Rattus norvegicus: one gene and its partner. The protein of the gene in region 1 purifies or fractionates together with the protein of each later gene. This does not show direct contact. Links are inferred from orthologs where the notes say so. Each region holds a gene or a part of one and is shown on either strand. Other genes may lie near its edges. The genes, in order: Ccny and Cdk14.

What was found.
Region 2: the proteins of Ccny (region 1) and Cdk14 purify together in Homo sapiens (affinity purification with western blotting; 3 studies listed by BioGRID and IntAct, with this or other methods). This does not show direct contact. The link is inferred for Rattus norvegicus from reciprocal best matches to the Homo sapiens genes CCNY and CDK14.

Annotation. Positions count from the first base shown.
Region 1 is NC_086035.1:62,204,837-62,209,384, reverse strand, and holds the start of Ccny (cyclin-Y), read left to right. Parts: upstream 1-1,604; coding exon 1,605-1,758; intron 1,759-4,548. UniProt on the Homo sapiens protein: Positive regulatory subunit of the cyclin-dependent kinases CDK14/PFTK1 and CDK16.
Region 2 is NC_086022.1:29,619,567-29,624,171, forward strand, and holds the start of Cdk14 (cyclin-dependent kinase 14), read left to right. Parts: upstream 1-1,650; 5' UTR 1,651-2,153; coding exon 2,154-2,244; intron 2,245-4,605. UniProt on the Homo sapiens protein: Serine/threonine-protein kinase involved in the control of the eukaryotic cell cycle, whose activity is controlled by an associated cyclin.

The DNA of each region.
Region 1 (4,548 bases):
GAACTTCCTTTGTCTCATTTTATCCTTTGGGAGAAAAGATAGTACATTCTATTTACATCTCACACTGGGAAGGTCAGTATAGCCTTGTTTTGATGCTGTCTAACCCACCCACTCCCACCCTCCTATTCCCCAGAGCTGGAATTTTCTAGAACTTCCCTTTACTGTTTTCTCTCTCATTTGGTCAGCACCACCACTCTTCAGCCATCATTTCCCATGGCATTCTGTCACGTAAGTCTACATATGACATTATTACAGCTAAGCATCGAGCCTCCGCACAGCTTGTCGAGCAACAATGTATGAATACCCCTAAGCGGTGGATGGATTGACTGCACAAGAGTACAAGACAGGTACAGATGGCTAATGTTTGGTATCATTTCCTCATTTCTCCGGTTAGGACAGAGAAGATCATGCACATCCTCCCCTTTACTGACTCCTTCACTAAGATTTTGAACTCCTGATGCTCCCGTCTTTACTGCCCTACTTTAAAGGCGTGACTTACACCTGTTTATGCCTGGTTGAGGATGGTAGAAGGGCCCCAGTACCCTTCACTATTTGGAAAGGATTTAAGTGGCTTTCCTCATCTTAAATCTTTTCAACGTTTATCTTGGTTCACGAGTCAACCCACGCACAAAATCTACGGCAGGTGAAACATAAAACAAGTGTAGTCCAAAAACTCAGAACACTACAGTTAATTCGTCATGACTTCAGCTCCTGTCCCCAGGCTGACTCCCAAGTCCTCCGAAGAGATTGACAGGAGATGAGCTCCTAACTCAACTGGGAACTCCTTCTAACATTAGCAACACACTGGCCGGCCGCCCTCAAGAGGCAGCAACAAGGCCCCCCTCCAGTGCGCGCCCTCTCGTGGCTCCTAGGGCCACTATCTACTTCCTGCCGTTGAGACTCAAGAGCGGAAGAGCGGAGAGCCGCATTGGCGTCTAGAAGGCGAAGACTTTTAGACAGGGTGCCGGCCACTGCGCACTTTCACGCCTGGAGAATCTGCTTCCAAAGCAGTGGGAAGGAAAAGGGCTGTGTGTAGACCGCGGGGTCCTAGCACAAAGGTGGAAGCGAAGCAAGCGGGCGTGAGGCGTGGCCGCGGGGAGGGGGCGGGGCCGACGTGTGCAGGCGTGGGGCGGGGCTCGCGAAACCCGGCCGGCAAGCTAAGATTCACCGTGCAGCGCCGCGGACGCTCCAGCTCCTGCGGTCCCGTCATTGTGTCCGCGCGCACTCGCGAGTCCCCGGCGTGAACCGGAACAGCTTGCGGAAATCGCGGCTGGGAGCCGGGCGCTGAGCAAGAACGCGGTGGGAGGCGGCCTGCGCGGCGCCGCCCGCCATGGCCGCGGCGGGGTGAGCTCTGCGCGGGGCCGCAGTCGCAGACTCAGGCTCCTCCGCTGCAACCCAGGGGCTGAGGCCGTAGCAGCCGTGGCCGCTGTCTGTCGGTCGCCGTAGCCGCCTGCTCGTTGCCGCTGTCCATGGCGCGGCCCCGCCGCCGCCGCCGCTGCTGACCCGGGCCCGGCGCGGTTTCCGCCCTCCACGGGGCGCGGGCGGCCTGCCTTTGCGCCCGAGCCTGCGCCCGCGCCCCGGGACTACCAGCCCGGTGGTCAGCGATGGGGAACACAACTTCGTGCTGCGTGTCGTCCAGCCCTAAGCTCCGGAGGAATGCGCACTCGCGGCTGGAGTCCTACCGCCCGGACACGGACCTCAGCCGCGAGGACACTGGCTGCAATCTGCAGCACATCAGCGACCGGGAAAACATCGACGGTGAGTGGCGCCCGCCTCCGCCTCCGCCTCTGCCTCGGCCTCTCCCTCTCCCTCCCCTTTCCCTCCCTGCAGGACTTGGAGCCTTGCGGTTCTGCTGCACTCACAGAATGGTGGAAATTTTGTTAGCCACGGCTGGGGAGGTCCAGTAGGTCCAGGGAGGGCGTGTGGCATGTGTGTGCTGGGGTGCGTCTACATGCGTGTGCACCCCGGGGATGGCATGGGAGGCCCCAGGCTGTGTGCTTTTGGGATGTTGCCAGAGTTATGTTTAGGGTGGCGGTGGTATTTGCTCTTTCCAAAAGGAATTGTGACAGTCTTTACCTGACTGGAGTTGGCCTGGGTTCCCCCAGACAACTCTACCCCTTTTCCAATTAAAAACTAAACTAGGCCCAAGGGAGTATGCTTGTGACTATATAGGCACAAATGCAAACATATGTACTATGCGAGTATATACAGTCCTGTGCACAAACACATAAATACTTTATGGGTATGTTTGCCTGGTTGAAGTAAAAGGTACACCTCAGAATGTTTAAAAAAGAAAATACCAGTCGACTGTAAGTTAAGTGATCTAGTTTTAGCATGGGCTAGAATTATAGTCCTACGAATTTCAGATTTGTCTGGGCAACTTGTGTATTTGAAAAAAAGTTAAAAGAGGCATCATTGCACCTAGTAACTGGTTTTGCAGTATCTTTCTGAGTATTGTTTTGTAATCAAACTCATTGTATACTGGGCATAAAATACAGTTTATATAATTTCCTACTTAAAAGATTAAATTGGAAATATCTTTAGGCCTTGTTTTTCGTTTTTGTTGTTTTTACGAAAATCCTCACACAAATAATCTAGTTAAATTCACTTATAATTTTTCTTATATGAATGAATTGATAACTGGTATTGACTCATTCTTGTTGCCTTTGGAGTGGAGTATTCCTTGCAATCGTGAAAGGCTACATTTGAATGCTAAGAAGAGTTTTCTTCTTGTTTCTTATATAAATAGTGTCTGCATGTTAGGGACAGCAGCTTTATTAAACAAGTATCATAAGGTTACTCACAGTTTATAGTAAGTTCTGGCACTACGTGATTTTTCTAGTGTTATTAAAATTTGTGTATTCGTGTGTGCAAGTGCACACTCGCACTCGAGAGTGTGTTACCTGTGTGTGGCAGTTGAGGTAAGAGGAAGGTGGTGTATGTCACGATCTGGAGTTACAGGTGGTTGTGCTGGGAACCTATCTCGGGTTCTGTGGAAGAACAAGGCGCACTCTTAATCACTTAGGCATTTCTTCAGCCCCTCTGGTGTCATTTTATGTGTCCATTAGCTCGTTTTTTTTTTTTTTTTTTTTTTTTAGGTGATTTTGAACTGCAGTTTCCCATTTACACATTTAAAAACATGTAGAAGAATATTGAAGTAAGAACTCCCAAACACATAGTAAAACTGTATTTTCAAGGGCAGAGTGAAGAAGTGAACACGTCCATTGTAGAATATTGCTAACAGCGTTGACAAGCAAAAAGCATTAAAGAATACTTTATTTTTATTATACAGGTTTACATTAGGCCATTTTCACACACAGTTTTGCATCTGTTTTCAGGCCACTCCACATAACAGCATTTTATGTCTCTCACTCACAAGCGAGAGAAAATGATTTGCCCTTCTGAGACTTGTTTAATATAATTATTTACAGTTGTACCCATTTTACTTCAGAGACATAATTGCATCTTTATGGCAGAAATGAATTTCATTGTATATAAAACACAGTTTTTTTTTTCCATTCCTCAATTAGTGGGCAGTGGTGCAGTAAGCGTGGATATGCCAGTATTTTTATGTTTTTTTAATTTGTTTTGTTTTGTGTTTTAAACTTTTGAACAGATACCTGTTAGAGGTATACTGAGTCATAAGGTAGGTCTGCTTTCCATTGATCCCCATTCTGACTATCACAGTCTAGACTAGTATCCATTCTCACTGTTAGTGTGTAAAGGGGTTCCTCTTATCTGCTTCCTCACCAGCATTTGTTATTTGTTTCCTTAGTAATTGCCATTCTTATTGAGGTGAGAAGGAAAAAAAAAACCTCATTGTAATTTGTGTTTCCTGCTAGTGATGTTAAATATATTATATTTTTTATTGTCATTGTTATTTTGTTTGTCTGTTTTCGTTTTGGGTTTTTTGTTTGTTTGTGCTTTTTTTGAGACAGGATCTCTGCATGTGGAACTCAATGTGTACGATAGGCTGGCCTCAAACTCGCTGAGCTCTACCTGCTTGTGCTCCAAATGCCGGGACTAAAGGTGTGCATTAACATGTTTGCGTTCATACACTTATTGCAAGTTTCTACCTCATCTTTTTCATCTTTTGGGAATTGTTTCTCTAATTCATTAGACCAGTCTTTGATTGGGTGGTTTAGTTTTTGATCACAGGTGATGAGGTTTCTGAGTTCTTGTGCATTTTAGATTTTAAACTCTGTAATTTGTATACCTGGCAAAGACTCCTCCCATTTTGTAAGTTGTCTCTTCGAGCAGTTATTTTCTTGAGTGTTCTTACGATAATTTTTATCTTCATGAGAATCAGTTGTTCTATTTCTTGAGAGACTGGTGTTCTGTTTAGAAGTATTTGCCTATACTGGAATCTTAAACATTTTTTTCTACTTTGTCCTTAGGAATTTTACCGTTTCAGGTCTTTAAATAAAATCTTTGATCTGTTTAGAGTTATCTTTTTGTATGTGGTGACACATGAGTCTAGTTTTCTTCTGTATGGCAGAAGAACATAGCCAGTTTGCCAGCAATATTTATTTGTTGAAGAGCCTGTTT
Region 2 (4,605 bases), on another chromosome or scaffold:
CGTTCCTCCTTTTGTTTTCAGAAATTTTGTGTATTTCAGAAATGTATATATTTTTGCATATTTTGCCATAGTTTGATATTAAATATGGTTTTCCCTATTAACCCTCGATATAGCAACTCAAGTTTCCATTAGTTTAAAAAAAATGGTCACGAACAATAGCTTTGTATGCAGAGATGGTAAGTTGGCTTTTTGAAAGATTAGAAAATTAGAGATATTGGGGAGGTAGAAAAGATACCATATGCATTCACGTGCAGGTCCATGCACACATACACACAGTGTGTGAGGACAAGCACACTGGGCCTGTGTCCTTACTCAAACTGGCCTTTTCCAAATGGACAGCAGTGTGACCACATAAGTATAGCACTCTAAATTTTTATCTTTGACGATTTTTTTTTTCGTCTTTGTTAGCTGGAAGAACCTATCAGTGTTTGGCTCTCTGTCTCTGTCTCTCTGTCTCTGTCTCTCTCTGTCTCTCTGTCTCTCTGTCTCTCTCTCTCTGTGTGTGTTCAGTTGTAACTGCTAATTTTCTAATTGATCTGACCACGTGATAAATGTTAAAACTTTTTTTTCCTGTATCAGGTCACACTTTGATGCCTTCTGTAATTATTGAGATTTGGCTGTCAGGATCCAACATCCCTGCGTTTAAACTATCTTGACTTTGCTCATGAATTCTTGGCTCTCTCCTCTGTTAGGGGCTTGGCTTGACTAGCTAGCTGCCTTTTATCAGTGGCAATCTACCAAAACCCTGTAATGTGCTCAGCACAGGGCGGAACAAATCCGTGTTCTACCTCACAATTTAAGGAAGGCAGGGGGCTAGTTTTTGTTTTAAGATAAAAATCTTTTGACAAAACACAAACTCCCCAAAACTTCCTTTAAACCAAACAGCATTGTCACGCCCACAAAAGCTCCTATTGCTTACACAGCCAGATGACTCAAGATCACTAACATTTCTATTCATAAGGACTTTGCTGGCCCAGAATCAGTACAACAGGCCTTCCCCCATCTTCCTTCACCCTCCCCTGGGAGACTGACGTTTGGAGTACCTCATTTATTAGGGGAAAAAAAAGACTGTGTTTTCTGCCGGAACTGTTTGTCCCGGGACTTTAAAAAAAAAAGCCACCCTTAAGTCCCTTTTCAAGTTCATTCACTGAAGTAGGGCAAGGAGGTGACAAAAGGTAGTAAATTTACTGATGACCTGAGTATCCCTCTGAGGAATCTCTGAGACATTCCTGTCATCCAGAGTCAGGGCTGAGGCAAAACACCCTGCCTTCTGGAAGTTCCAGGGGGCCATTTTCAGCTTTTGCATTGTACCCCAATGAAAATCAGGCCTCTTCTGGCCTTCGGAGCACCCACTTTCCCTGTAAATTAAAACCACCCACCCCACCCCACCCCAAAAAGTCTCTACTAAACCCGAATGCGTCCCCGAGGCACTCGTGCACCGCGCCCGACACTCCCCAACCTTTCCGGGTCGGGGCCAACAAGGATCGCACCGCACCGGGTGGACAGGGTCGGCCGGGAGCCCAGGGCGGCCGGCCGTCTGTCTGTCCGTCTGCCCGTGGGCTGCGGTCCCGGAGCGCGCGGGAGGAGCGCGGCCGCGGCCGGCGGAGCGCGGGCGGCCGGGAGGGGGCGCCGCCCGGGCGCGGTGGGTCCGGGAGGGCGGCGGAGGCCTCGGAGTCGGAGTCGGAACGCGGCGCGGGGTCGCGCCTGGGTCCCGGGCGCCAGGCCTCTGGCCAGGGCAGTCGCGGGTCTCCGTGCAGCGCCGCCCCTCGGGCTGGGGAACTTGTCCCGCGCGCCTCGCCTGCAGCCGCCTGCGCCTCCTCGGCCGCGCCGCCCCCGTCTCCGGTCGCGGCCGCGCGGCTCTGGCTTACAAAGGAGGGAAAATGCGGCGGGCAGCGGCGCAGCGCGGGGGCCCCCGGGCGGCGGGGATCGCGGCCGCCCCCGGCACCACGTAAGACGCCCCCGCGCGCCCAGCCTCGGCCCAGGCCCGAGCCCCGCAGGCAGGCGAGCGCTGCGCGTCGCCCGCGGCCCGCGAGGAGGCGGAGGAGCAGGACGAGGCGCCGCCTTCCCCGCGCCGCGCGCCCTCGCCCGCCGTTGTCTGCGCTGCGCTGCGCTGGACCAGTTTCGCGAAGTTGCCCGGGCCCCGCGTCGCCCAGATGTGCGACCTCATTGAACCGCAGCCGGCCGAGAAGATCGGCAAGATGAAGAAGTTGAGGAGAACTTTGTCCGAGAGTTTCAGCCGCATCGGTGAGTGTGGTCCGCTGTACCCCGGTGTCCTGCGGGCGATCCCCGGGCTCGCTCCCTCGGTCCCCGCGCCCTCTCCGTGCTCAGGGCACCAGCCAGGCAGCTGCCACCTCCGGGTGAGGTGCGGACAGGGATGGAGGAGGACCTCGGTGGGGACTCCCGGCAGGGCAGGGATAAGCTGGAGGGCTACCCCTCTCCCCCACGGTCTGAGCTTCATTCGTGGACTGTCTCAACCCTCCAATTTGAGTTCCTCCTCCCCGCCAATAGTATCTTTGGCGCCTACAGTGAACTGGAGAGGGGACACCAGGTCCCCACCGCCATCGGGGCTCTGTGGCCACCCAGGTTACTTTTTTTTGTTTTTGTTTTTGTTTTGTTTAAAGAGCGTTGGTATTAGGTGTTTAGCCAATAATGTAGCTTTGGGAATTGTCGAAACGTTGACAGGCGCCTGATGTTTTTTAACGTACTCAACCTAAAGGAAGTGGGACAGATACCTTGGGACCTTTTGTTCCGTACTTCTGGTCCTATAAATGGAGGTTTGGGTGTTCAGTTTGTAGGTCTCTGAACCTTCTAGCTGCTATGGTGAAATGCGAGCTGTGAAGTTGTGGGGGCATTTAGAATAAGTCTCATGAACTTGCACTGTTAGTGCAGTCCAGAGGCTATTGTCTTCTTTAAAAAGCAACCAACCAATTTAACAGAGAATAAACAAACAGCAATAAGAAAAAAGGATCGAGGAATGTTTAGGATACTTAAAGAATGAATCCACATTACAGGCTACAGCAAGATGACAGCTGTGTCATGTGGAAGGGGTTTGTTAAATCTTGAGTGTTGGTGGCAGAGAGCGCCTGTTAACCTGAAGGCATACCTGCTATCTAAACTTTTGTCGCTAACTTTCTTTGATACGGGTAACTGCGCAAAGCAAGGGATTCTTATAAGCCCCAAACCAACCCATCAGAGTGTCCAAGCATACCTTCTGGCCTTTGGTTCACCTGTTATGTTAATAAAAGTTAATTAATTAAAAATAAGCCAGTTCCTTAAAATAAAACCATGATGTGCCAGTGAGTGTCAGCAGTCTGTTTCATAGCTCATTATCCGTACATGCAAACTGTCTTCAAATAAACATGGATAAACGTTTAGTCAAGATCATCATTATCATTATTATTATTATCATTATTGTCAATTTTGTTTGACATTTTGCTTTTCCTGAGAACGCTGTTAAGTTATGTGCAGAATGCACATTCGTCATGCCTTTTCTAATCACATGTATTGAATATACAACGGACCCACTTTTCTGAGTTAGGCACGTGAGTGTCGAGTCCTACATTCAAGTCAAGTTTGAAGCCAAGAGGAGTGTGAGAGTGAGGTGGGGAGCCTGTGCATTATTAACAAGGATGTTTCAGGGCTGGATTCAAAACACCACCCAGGCGGGTTCTGGAGTCCATTAGGGCCTGTTCTACAGCACATTAGCTAGATATTTACTAATGCTGATGATTCCGTTGGAGCCCCTCCAGTTTTCTCTTAAATAATTCATTGCAGTTGAGTCTCAGTGAGAAACAAAGGGCATTAATATAAAAATCTTGTATGTTTAAATAATTTTAGGGTTTGATGGCCCGTCAGTAATATTCCGGTTAACTGCAGTGTTGGCAGATAGATATTATAGTTAATTGGGCTTCCCAGATTATTGAGATTTAGTGATGTGAAAGCTCCCCTTTGAGTCTATTGATTCTCAGAAATGCCTGGTATGATTATGTGGCTTTTATATCCATTCTTTACGAAACAGAACGGCTCAGTAAAGAAAGCTGATCATCTCTTTATTGAAAGAGGACTCAGAAGAGCAGGTCTTACTGTGGTATATTGTGAAAGAAAATATTGACATTTTTAAGTGATTTTTGTTGTGTGTGCACCAAACCCAGGATAGTTATTAGGAAGGGCACTACTGGAAAACGTATCTTCTCCGATTTCCTTCACACTCAGAGGCGGTGAACTCATTTGATGACCGAAGGGTTTTTTTATTTTTGAAGACTGAGAGGCAATGCCGTGAGAGTTTTCTATGGGTTCATATAATTCATAAGCAAGGAATGTGTTCTGTGGTTTTGTTTTGTTTTGTTTTGTTTTTTTTTTTTTGGCACTTGGTGAAATGATGATGCAGTGTCTTGTGTGGCAATGCTATAAAACTCAACAAATGTTTGCAACGTGCTGTCATTATTAGGGATTAGATGGTCTCGACATGATGGTATTATAGGTAGAAAGCAAGGAAAGAAGAAGTGGCCACAGATTTGTAGTATAGCATCCTGAAAACATGGTAGATTTTGGAGTTGGACAGTTCTGGGCCTGGCCCTCTGTTTCCCTCACGTCTTGGGCAACCAG